3 linked regions of the Coturnix japonica genome follow. The main gene of each other region encodes a partner of the protein of the gene in region 2 in a complex. Links are inferred from orthologs where the notes say so. Each region holds a gene or a part of one and is shown on either strand. Other genes may lie near its edges. The genes, in order: TIMELESS, PARP1 and SMYD2.

Evidence for each region.
Region 1: the proteins of PARP1 (region 2) and TIMELESS are in contact, whole or in part, in a crystal structure (PDB 4XHU), measured with the Homo sapiens proteins. The link is inferred for Coturnix japonica from reciprocal best matches to the Homo sapiens genes PARP1 and TIMELESS. Residues at the interface, in NP_001609.2 of Homo sapiens: Gln846, Lys849, Pro850, Phe851, Leu854, Arg878, Ile879, Ala880, Pro882, Asn928, Lys940, Lys943, Gly944, His946, Tyr992, Asp993, Ile994, Ala995, Gln996; in NP_003911.2 of Homo sapiens: Asp1036, Gln1040, Pro1043, Val1045, Pro1046, Leu1047, Thr1048, Glu1049, Glu1052, Glu1053, Glu1056, Ser1074, Gly1075, Gln1076, Glu1077, Thr1078, Phe1079, Arg1081.
Region 3: the proteins of PARP1 (region 2) and SMYD2 are in contact, whole or in part, in a crystal structure (PDB 9CKC), measured with the Homo sapiens proteins. The link is inferred for Coturnix japonica from reciprocal best matches to the Homo sapiens genes PARP1 and SMYD2. Residues at the interface, in NP_001609.2 of Homo sapiens: Thr526, Leu527, Lys528, Gly529, Gly530, Ala531; in NP_064582.2 of Homo sapiens: Thr105, Leu108, Val179, Asn180, Cys181, Asn182, Gly183, Phe184, Thr185, Glu187, Leu191, Ser196, Ala203, Met205, Tyr240, Ile241, Asp242, Ser257, Tyr258, Asn380.

What each region holds. Positions count from the first base shown.
Region 1 is NC_029544.1:1,738,096-1,742,384, reverse strand, and holds the start of TIMELESS (protein timeless homolog), read right to left. Parts: upstream 2,891-4,289; coding exon 2,818-2,890; intron 1,852-2,817; coding exon 1,698-1,851; intron 1,619-1,697; coding exon 1,504-1,618; intron 1,407-1,503; coding exon 1,344-1,406; intron 695-1,343; coding exon 593-694; intron 498-592; coding exon 342-497; intron 266-341; coding exon 132-265; intron 54-131; coding exon 1-53. Other genes in the region: lens fiber major intrinsic protein-like, read right to left, coding at 3,675-4,064, 4,139-4,289. UniProt on the Homo sapiens protein: Plays an important role in the control of DNA replication, maintenance of replication fork stability, maintenance of genome stability throughout normal DNA replication, DNA repair and in the regulation of the circadian clock.
Region 2 is NC_029518.1:14,826,171-14,829,768, reverse strand, and holds part of PARP1 (poly [ADP-ribose] polymerase 1), read right to left. Parts: coding exon 3,395-3,598; intron 2,594-3,394; coding exon 2,525-2,593; intron 1,730-2,524; coding exon 1,597-1,729; intron 878-1,596; coding exon 682-877; intron 1-681. UniProt on the Homo sapiens protein: Poly-ADP-ribosyltransferase that mediates poly-ADP-ribosylation of proteins and plays a key role in DNA repair.
Region 3 is NC_029518.1:18,623,249-18,626,846, forward strand, and holds part of SMYD2 (N-lysine methyltransferase SMYD2), read right to left. Parts: intron 3,355-3,598; coding exon 3,287-3,354; intron 1,629-3,286; coding exon 1,526-1,628; intron 1-1,525. UniProt on the Homo sapiens protein: Protein-lysine N-methyltransferase that methylates both histones and non-histone proteins, including p53/TP53 and RB1. Specifically trimethylates histone H3 'Lys-4' (H3K4me3) in vivo. The activity requires interaction with HSP90alpha.

The sequences.
Region 1 (4,289 bases), on a different chromosome or scaffold from region 2:
CCCCGATGGCCTTCAGCCCCTGGATGACGTAGGAACCACGGAAACGAGAGTGTCTGGAGGGGAGAATGCACATGATGAGCCATGTTGGCTTTACGACAGGGCCCTGACCCCCCCTCCAGCCCCCTCCCCACCTGGCTGGGCGCTGCAGCATCCGTGCTCTGTGCTCTGCCAGCTCCCGCTGCCTCAGACTCTGCAGCTCCTGTGTGTCCTCCCCACACTCTGCACCCACCCGTCCCTGTCCCAGCGCTGCCAGCTGCTCCGGGCTCTGTAGGGTGGGATTAGGGGGTGTCAACAGAGCTGGATGGGGGGCTGGGGGTGGTCTCCGTGCCCACCACGCTCACCTGGTCACGGAACATGAGGGAGATGATCTCAAGGACGTGCAGAGCCCATTGCTGCTCAGTCGGCGCGCTGGCCAGGAACTTGAGCAGGTCATCCATGCCACTGATATGCAGAGCCCACAGCACGCGGTCGTGCACGCTGGCATCGCCATCCACACCCTGAGGGGCAGCACAGAGGGGGGTGGGCAGCACGTAGGGCACCTTACAGTGGGGATCCCTGTGTCTGTACCCCCCCCCCCCCTCCTTCCCAATACCTGCTCCTCAGCGGGGTCGGGGGGCACGTGCAGCACGTTGCGCACCAGCAGCAGGATCCGCTCGATCAGCAGCGTGTCCTCCTCCTGCCGCTGCTCCCAGTCCTGCAATGTATGGCTGTCAGCAACCCCATAGCCCACCCCAGACCCCCCCCCAGACCCCCAGCTCCACCCCCAGACCCCCAGCTCCCTATCTTCCCCCCCAGACCCTCAGTCCCATTGTCTCCCCCTCCCCCCACCGACTCTCAGCCCCACTGCCAACCCCCAGGCCCTCAACCCCACAGCCACCTCCCCGGGACCCCGTCCCATAGATCCCCCCCCAGCCCCATAGATCCCCCCCAGCCCCATAGCTCAGCCCCAGACCCTCAGCCCCATTGTCCCTCCACCCTGACTCTCAACCCCACAGCCACCCCCCTGGGCCCCCAGCCCCAGAGCTCCCCCCCTAGCCCCATAGCTCAGCCCCAGACCCTCAGCCCCATTGTCCCCCCTACCCCAACTCTCAGCCCTACTGCCACCCCCACCCTGCCCTCAACCCCACAGCCCTGGGTCCCCAGCCCCATAGCTCCCCCCTAGCCCCATAGCTCAGCCCCAGACCCTCAGCCCCATTGTCCCCCCACCCCAGCTCTCAGCCCCACTGCCACCCCCCCAGGCCCTCAACCCCATAGCCACCCCCTCAGGCTCCCAGCCCCATAGCTCCTCCCTAGCCCCATAGCTCAGCCCCAGACCCTCAGCCCCATATCCCTCCAGCACCCACCAGCTGCAGCACTTCATAGAGCTTCTCGCTCAGCACCCCAAACACCTTCTCACTGGCGAACGCCTGCAGAAAACCCCTTATGAGCACCATGTGTGCGTGTTCGGGGGGGGGGGGGGGGAATTTGAAGACCCCCCCTATGGCTGTATCCTCACATCCTCACCTCTTTATACGCCTGCAGGTAGGACAGCACCTGCAGGAAGTGATGCCGGGCGGTGGCGTCTGACGGCACTTTACCGAAGCAAAGCAGCGCTGGCTGTGTCAGGTTCACCATCAGCCTATAGGGGTGTGGGTGGGATTCAGGACCCCAGCCCATGCTGCCCCCGCACCATCCCCCCCATCCCTACACCCCGGTACCTGATGACGGTATCGAACAGGGTCCGATCCTGCGGGTATTGAACGAGCAGAGGCAGCAGATCGTTCTGTAGGATCTGAGCCGCTCCCAGCTGCTGCCGCACGTCCCGACTCTCATCCTCGTGCCGCAGGTACCGGATCAAATCCTTCACGCTCTCTACGGGAGGGGTCGGTCAGAACACGCCCCCCCCCCCCCCCCCCCCCCCCCCCCCCCCCCCCCCCCCCCCCCCCCCCGACGCCTTCAAGCGGCAACGCCCGCACCCACCGGGTCACCCCCCCCCCTTCCTCCACGCACCGCCCACTATAAACAATACCCACGCACCGTAACGCGCTTCTCCCCCCTCACCCTCCCTTGCGGTGAACACTCGCCCACCCCCGTTATCCCCGCACCGCGCTGCTCCCCTCAATGGCCCCACCTCGACGTTGCCCTTTTAAGAAAGGCTCACGCTGCGCTGTAGCCCCGCCCCGTGGGCGGGACATCGCCTGGGGCGCGGGAAGTCACCGCACCGCGCTCTGCCCCCCACCCCCATTAGCCCCCATATCCCCCCATACCCCCATTTAACCCCCCATATTCCCCCTCCCCATATCCTCCATAACCCCCCATTACCCCCACCCCCATACCCCATTAATCTCCATATCCCCATACCCCCCATTTACCCCCCCATATACCCCCCATTTACTCCCATTTACCCCCCATATCCCTCCCCCCCCATTACCCCTCCACATCCCCTCACCCCATTACCCCCCCATTTACCCCCCATATCTCTCACCCCCATATGCCCCCCATATCCCCCATATACCCCCCCATATACCCCCATATCCCCCATACCCCCATTACCCCCCCATACCCCCATTACCCCCCCATATCCACAACCCACACAACATAACACCCCCATTACCCCCCATTACCCCATTACCCCCATACCCCCATTACCCCCATTACCCCCCATATCCCCCCCCCCCCCCACGAGAGCCGTTACAAAATTAAGCGTAGGTTTAATTTTCACCGAACACAGAAGCTCGGTCACGGCGGGGGGGGCCGGGGTTGTTGCGGGGGGGGGTGAGGCCGTTCGACCTCTCCGCCAACTCCCCCCACGCACACCGACGCCGCACACACACGCACCGCAACGCCCCGACACCAGCAAAGGCGGCCCCGGGTTGGGGGGGGGCGGCCCTATAACCCCTATAGCCCCCATAGCCCCTATAGACCCTATAGCCCCTATAGACCCTATAGCCCCTATAGCCCCTATAGCCCCTATAGACCCTATAGACCCTGAGTCTTCAGCCTCCAGCGTTCAGCCGGTAGCAGATTCGGCGGGGGGGCGCGGTGACGGGGGGGCTCCCCCCGCAGCACGGCAGGCGTTCAGCCATGCTGACGGCCCGAGGACACAGCGCCAGCTCGTACAAAAACAGAAGCCAGCCAAACCCGGCACCGAGCAACGGACCGCCCAGAAACAAACCTTACGGGAATTGGGGAGCGGGGCGGCGTGGGGGGGGGAGGCGAGGGGACCCCCCACCCACCCGAGATAAGGGGAAAAAATGTGGGGAGGAAAGGGATCACTGAGTGGGGTGATAAGGGATGCCCCCCCCCCCCCCCCCCCAAGGTGGGGATGACTGGGGGCTGCTGCAGGCTGTTGGGTTGTGGGTGGGATGGGGGCATAGGGGGCAATGGGACAGAAGTGGGATGGATTGGGTTGGGATGAGATGGAGTGGGATGGGACCGGGATGCACTGGGATAGGGCTGCAGTGGTCTGATTGGGATGGACTGGGGCAGGAATGGGATGGACTGGGATGGACTGGGATGGACTGGGATGGACTGGGTGGGATTGCGGTGGGTTGAGGCTGATTGGGATGGACTGGGGCAGGAATGGGATAGACTGGGTTATACTGGGATAGAACTGGGATGGGACTGGGATGCACTGGGACAGGACTGCAGTGGACTGATTGGGATGGACTGGGTCAGGAGTAGGATAAACTGGGTTATACTGGGATAGCACTGGGATGCACTGGGTGGGACTGCAGTGGATTGAGGCTGATTGGGATGGACTGGGGCAGGAATGGGATGGACTGGGATGTACTGGGATAGAACTGGGATGGGACTGGGATGGACTGGGATAGGGCTGCAGTGGACTGATTGGGATGGACTGGGGTAGGAATAGGATGGACTGGGTTATACTGGGATGGACTGGGTGGGATTGCAGTGGGTTGAGGCTGATTGGGATGGACTGGGACAGGTCGGATGATGGGTTGGAATGGACTGAGCTGGACCGCAGGGTCCCCCCCACTTACCCAGTGGTTGGTGAAGTTGCGGGTGATGACAGCGGGGGCAAAGGAGCGTGCAGGGTTCATACCAGCACCAGTGTATGGGATCTGCGGGCAAGGAGGGGGTGGTGGGTGAATGCTGCCCCCCACCCCTACCCCATGGGGCTGCCACCCCCCCTTACCCCAAAGAGGTGTCCGAGGGCGAGGGAGAAGCCGACGGGCAGCGCAGCGGAGCCGGGGCGTCCATCATGGCGCTCATCGAAGCTGGCGAAGACGCAGAGGATGAACTGAGCCGTCAGCAGCAGCTCCACCACCGTGCCCTGACCTGGACCC
Region 2 (3,598 bases):
TCTGCCAGATGCTTCAGTGCCATTGCACACCGCAGTATAACAGACAGTTTCCTGCTGCAATATTCAAATTTCCATTAAGAAAGCTAACCATGGACTGCTTCACACTGAAAGACGACATCCAGTAACATGGCTACAGAAAAATACAATGGCTTCAAAACCTCTGATGTCTTTATAGCTATTAGCAGCATTCAGCTATGTTACCTAAAAATAGACTAAGTTATGGGTATGTCTTTATACAAGTACATAAACTCCCACCGGGTAGAAGGGATAGAATTCCTATTTAGTATAGCTGTCTAAATAGCCAAATCCTACTGGTAACAAATATTTTCTCCTTATCAGCTTGCTCAACATACACACTGAGCACTGGGCTGCATTAAGATTCATTTTACCATTTGGGAGAATTTTGAATGCAGAAAATAGATGAAATTTTAAATAGAACAAAATGGGGAGCTTGTGAAATGACTGCTTACTTCATCTCAAATTAACTTCTGTAAGATTACACAGAGTAAACAAGAATAATTGTCCCCCCTGCAGTCTCCTTGCTGTGCTTACCATAATAATTTGTGCAGCAAAACCCCTGCACTTCATCCCTTTGTTTGTTAAAGTGTCAACGAGCACAGAAGAGTTACAGGAAAGCAGCTGAGCAATGCTCTACCTGGCATAGGGACATTTAACAGTTACCTGTCCATAATCTATTTCCAGTGGGTAGAATTTTTTGGGATATTTGGTGAAGTTCTTTGAATGCCAAGAATTGCCAGTTTTTTCTTCATACAAATTTAGGAAATGTTCAACAGCATCTTCTTTTGATGGCATCTGCTCCAGCTTGTTACTCCCAATGACAGTGCCCACACGACCCCAGGATCTGAACACCCAGTACCTAAGAAGTGAAACCCAAGAAAAAAAAGCAGATGTAAAGGTTCTGGCTCTATAGACCTCAGCCCAAATGAAACCGATTCTGCAACTGTGAATCAGCCATTTGCATGTTGTTAATTTAAGGAGACATTCTGCAAGAACGCAACAGAAGAGCCACCACAGCATCTATGTCCAATAACAGGTGTAAAGAACACCTGCTGTAAACACACCAGACGTACAGCTCTGAAGATGATTGCACACACAGCACGAGAGAAAAGGGGAAAGAAAAAAAGAGGCTATTACCACTTGAGTCAATATTTTACAAACACACATCTTCAGACTTTTCAGTTCATGTATTTGGGAAAAAAAAAACAACAAATATGGGGAAGACTCCCGACATCACAGACCTTATGAGTGGGCTCCTGGATGTTAAAACAGAAAAATCTCCTGTATTTTTATGGGCTGCTGTCAGTCACAGAGCACTGAGACCCTCCTGTCTTCTTAGGACTAGGTTAATTGAATATCCATTGTACGCACCTCACTCATCCCACGATGCGCAAATGAATTCAAACAATTCAACAGCTCCCCCTTAGCTCCTCCCACCTTTTAAAACAAACATATCTATCTATCCATAACTCCTTACAGCAACATTTTACTTATTTCTTCCTTTTGTAGAAGCCAAAATTCCAGAACTCAGTAGGAAAAAAAGCAAACAAAGTCATTTCAGGGGAAAATTGAACTCACCTGCTCTCTCTGTCATCCTCTAGCAGCTGCAGTTTGTAATAGGAATTTGTTCCTTTCACAATATCCACCAGGCCAAGAGTTGCACTGAAAATCTTCCCACCTTTTTCAAAGACATGAGCAGAATCCTCCAAACCTACAAAGAAGGAACAGAATTAGAATACAGAGGTTACCATTTTAGGTTTCTTTCCTACATTCATGTTCACAAAAGTGTTTCAAAATTGCGAGAAAATTATCAAAATATCAGAAAGAAGAGTGGTAACATGCTCAGTAAAATCTATTAAAATCTTACTTTTGTACACATTGCAGGTACATGGTTTCAGGTGCACTAGAATGAACCTCAACCCTGACCTGAGAAAAACTGTACACTTGAGAAAGGGCAACCAGGAGTCTAGCACTGAACACTGCGTGACTGGCTAGAAGAATTCTCAAGAGAGACATAACTTTACAGGTGTCACATTAAAAAAAAGACTGAAAAAAACGAAGGCTGGCCTTGGTTGCAGTACAAATTCGAAGGACAGCAGTACAAATTTTAAGGACAATGCCTGTACATTATCAATTTGGAAAGCAGCATCAGTTGCTTCTGCTCAAAGAGTCCTGAGGCAAACGCTTATGCCAGGCACTGCTGCCTAAGTCTTTATCCACCCCTCCAACATGTTTCTGAAGCTGAAAAATGAATATAGCTTAGTTTAAATGAACCTCCTGAAAGATGCACTGGAATATCCTAGATCATCCAAGCTTTAAAGTGTCAATCAATAGCCTTCTTTCGATAGTGAGAAAAGCTATCTTAAGAATTCTGCTTCCTTTTACAGCCCCCTTAACTTTTACATCAATGACTGCAAACCCTTTTACTTCCACAGAAAGATAAAAATAAGAATGCTGCAAACAAGCCATGCATCCTGAAGACTTTGGTGCTATTGTTTGCACTTACCAGAATCAGGATCTACTGCTGCTCCACCTTTAACTGTTAGCTTCATTTTCTTTTCAGACTTGCTAGGTCCTGCAGGGATAAGAAGTTATTTTTCCTTCAAAGGCAATACAGTTTGACTTGATTCAAGATATAAATTCCCAATTTGCATAATTATTACCTTAATGAGACTTCAAATCAGATTCCCAGTACAATACCCCCAGCACTTCAATGGCTTTCTACCTGCCTTTAGCAGCTAATTCACAGCTGCCTCCCCCCACAAGGAAATGAAAACCAAGATCTCCCCAGATAACATCTACCTTCCTTCCTCCTGACCCCAATATCATTTTTCCAACTACATGACAGAAGGTCACGTTTGTGGCTGTATTGAAGTGGGATTTTAAAACTTCACTGGGCACGTGGGACATTCAGTACTCACGCAGATCCTTCTACTGTTTGTGTGGCAATAACACAAAACTGAACAACACAAGCTAAAAGCTTGGGGGCTATGGAAAAAGAAGTTGAGCACATCTAATGGTTTTATTCACATTCCAGCATGAATAATGCAAGGTTGCTGTGGCAGTTGTGAAGACTACTGCATGGTGGTGATGAGCTGACAGTTGAACTACATGATCTTACTGGTCTTTTCCAACCTTAACGATTCTATGATTCTGAAAGTGCCACTGAGACAGAAGCTGTCAAGAGATAACTTCATACTCACTAAAACCTGATCTTACCTAAATCTTCATTATTTAAAATTTACTATGAGGGAGGGAAAAAAACCAAACAGTGAGAGAACTCTAGGAAAGGATGAGGCTGGACTATACCCAGATTTTCTTTGTGCACACAGAGCAATAAACAGGCCCCTGGAGAAACAACAACTTCATTCTTCACCTTGTTCTTCTTTGATCTTCCCAGCACTCTTCATATTTGGGGGCTTGCTGCACTTCCCATCCACCGCCACCTCCTGGTGCTCTGTTTTCACCTCTGCACCCCAAGGTGAAATGGCATGGAGAGAGAGAAGCTCCTGAAAGCTCTTGCTGGAAGATTTCACATCCTTAAGAAACTCCTCTGAGACCACACGAACTTTGGCATCTT
Region 3 (3,598 bases), about 3.8 Mb from region 2:
CAAGAAATACACCAGTGGTGCTGTTGATAATTTTGCAGACCAAAAAAGACTTTTAGTTTCATTTCCTCATTTTCAGTTATTTCAAAGCGAAACGCACGTGTAATTTGATGTGACGTACACTCCCAATCTTTTTCTATGATCTCACAGCTTCTCCCACACTCCTCCCTTCCAAGCATGCAAAACGCAGGAGCAGCATTTACAGCACTTCAATTTCTGATGCAATGCCTACGTTGAACCTGAAGGTGGAGACACAGGCCGTAAGACTGCTCTGAGCCCAAGTAAAATCACCGGTCCGTTTAAATGTCAGAATAGAGACCGCAGAAAAGCAATGAGATCCTATAGAACCGATGCAGCTTCGAAAACACTGTTTAACCAAAAGACATCAGTAAGGTAAAATACTCCTCACTTCCCCTTCTAATTGCTCTCCAAAAAAGCTGAAAATGCCTGGACTCAATGGGAAAATTGCAAAACTCTCTGTCCGTTACCACAGTGCATCTGCAGTGACTGCCAACACTGCAGTGAGACCATAAGCAGCACATTGAGAAGGTGGTCACCTGAATTACCCTGTCCCAGCAACTGATGTCACTCGGTTCATAATGGTGAACAGCTGCAATCCAGGAAAACCACCCCTGTCTCCTTCACCAGAATTTCTGTTACATACTTCAGAAATCAGCTGGACTTGTCAAAATCAAAACTGAACTTGTTTTAATCAGCATTAACCTCAAAGGCTAAATTAACATTCGTGAATTAACAATTCATTAACAATGAATCTCCATGCAAACTCCATCTTCAGAGTATTTTCATCCCATGCAGACACATGAACAACTTCCCCAAGCCTGCCTAATACACAGATTTTTAATTGAACTTGTTATTATTTTTTAAAATTTTATTGAAGTAAAAATATTCTCTGCTGCCAAGTTCATTATTTGACTGAGAAGGTTTACCAGGGTCTTAATTTATCCATCACTGTTCAGCTTTGCTCCAATTAGAAAGATACTCAGGTTCTTTTGTGATTCCACAGCTAAACTCTGCTGAGTGATACGACTGGACAGAGCATCCACACAACACATGGGATTGAAACAGAAGTTAGAGGACTTATCTGTTCCCATTTACCTTGTTTATTCTGGCTTCGCTTCCATTACTATTATACTGGGAAGTATTACGGCAGTAATAATTTTCTTTGATCTTGGAATTTCAAAGCACCAGCCAAACATCAGCAAACTAAGCCTCCTTTTACAGACAGATAAACTGAGACAGAGGCTGGCAGATGTGCAGTGACTGATGCAGGTGCCCATCCCTTGTTTTAACACAAAATGGGACACCGCCTCCTAGAATCATTTCAGTCCTCCAGTACCACCCCAACTTTTCTAAAGCTACATCTCAGGCTTCTCTGAGAAACAAGAGATTCTTCCCCCCTTATTATTAAACTGTCATCTAATCTGAACAAAGAATGAAAAGTGGGATGGATTCTGTTTTAGGACACACGTACACAGCGCTGCAGTACATTCAAGCATAGTGTACTCACCTCTTCTCCAGGCTCAATCTCTTTCACAGCTCTGACTTCAGCCAGCGTCCCTTTGTAAGTTACAATCACATTTGGGCAACAGCTATGGTTCATCAATGCAACACTGTAAAGGCAGAAAAGTGAACTTTTCTCCCTTCCCACCAAAAGCAACAGGCAAAAAGTTAAGCAACACTTCATAAAACAAACAAGCTTGAAAGGACTGAGTCAGCCTTCCTCTGCAAGCTGTTCTTAGTGAGGCTTAATATATGAAGGTAGCCTGGGGAAAATCTGTTGTGTTTTTATTTATCCTATCAATATGGAGAATGGCCATTTTAATGGATCACTGTGATTTTAAAATCTTATTATAGCCGGACTAGGCAAGTTATTATTTCCCCATTCTTACAGCTCTACAATATAGCTGACAGGCTATTTGCACACCTTAACTAATAGCAACCAGATATTTCGCTATCTGTAAGAAACAGACTATTTTCTTCTTAGGAGAAAGAAAGAGAAACCCATTTAGGTACAAGGAAACAAGCAAATACAGTTGCTGCACACATTTAAGATCAATGTTAAGAATTTATCTCACTTCTATGCAAACATAAACAGCCTCCACCCTTAAAGTGTGAAGGAGATCTCTGTTTGATATACCAGCACATATGTTACACAAAAAAACCTCAAGACTGCTACTGAAAAGTGCTTTCCTCTGATACCAAGCTTGGAAGTGCAATATGCTGCTTACTTAAGATAAAACGTTTAATCTTAATTCTTTCTCTTCGAAGCTATTGAAATAATAAAAATGTCTTTTCATAGTGGCTCAGATGCTGAGCATTTACAAAGGATGGTGTTGCACTCAGTTCCAAAGGATCTTGGTTTCATACTCTATTCCCACCATGACTGTGTTCCTGGATGAGATTTCACGGCCTTCAGGGATAAGAAATACACAGTGCAGCCCTGCTGAAGCAAGGACCTGTATACGGCAAATCAAGCCCTTCTCTAACTGGGCACCAGGACATTTGAAATTGCTTTGACATAATTACTACTAATCCACACCTCATGGGGAAATTGCTAGCACTTGCAGTGTGGAGTTTGCAAAGAACAGAAGCAGAATGGGAAGCAGAGACTTGAAGGGAAAAAAGTTAGACTGCCTCACAGAGAGCTGTACTTCCCAGTCAACAGACTGCAGTTAATGACTAACATTTGCAGTTTGTTTGTAAAGCTGAGGAGGTTGTACATATTTTTTTCCCACTGTCGTAACAACATAAAGCATGGCAGTTTTTAAAACATCTGAAAGGCTGAAAGGCTGAAAGAAGTTATGAAAGAGATATATGGTTTGCAAAGGAACAAAGATAGAAGGGATGGGTTTTTTTGCTAACATCAGGTGGAGCATAATACCCAGGCAATGCAGAAACCTGTGGATAAAGCAAGTCACTTCCAATCCTTTTCATTTTGCTTTGATCATTACTTGATGTCCCTGTCCAGAACCTGCTAGCCAAGTAAGTCTGTCTCCTACCGACCTGTGTACAGTTCAGAGTCAGAGCTACAGGACTTCAAAACATCTTCCAAGTACAATTTTACCACATTTACCAGATTTATAAGCAGAACTGCTGCAAATCACTGGCAGATTTTATTAGTTAGCACATTTTAAACATGACAAATTAATACTAATTCTTTGATTTAATTTCTTTCAATACAGATCTAGTTCTAAGCATATGTAAGAACCTTTGTTTGTTTTTAAATGAATTGTTTTTATTATTTCTTTCACTATTAAACTCAACCTACTCAGGAAATATGGCTGATCCCAAATGAGAGAGTTCTTCATCTTCAATCGTGAAACCATTGCAGTTAACCTAGGAAAAAAGGGAGACTAACTCAGATTCTGGTCAATTTATATCACATTCTCATACTTAAAAGTTACGAGCAGCAATGTGCTTATAGTTTTCTTTACATCTCACCAGTATTCATGGAGAAACTACATGACATCTCAAAAAGTGAAGAACAAATCCACATCCAAAGGAACGTGCAGGATTACAAACTACTGTCAGTCGAATGCTTGTGCCTGCTCAGGACACAACATCTAAGGGATTACACCTC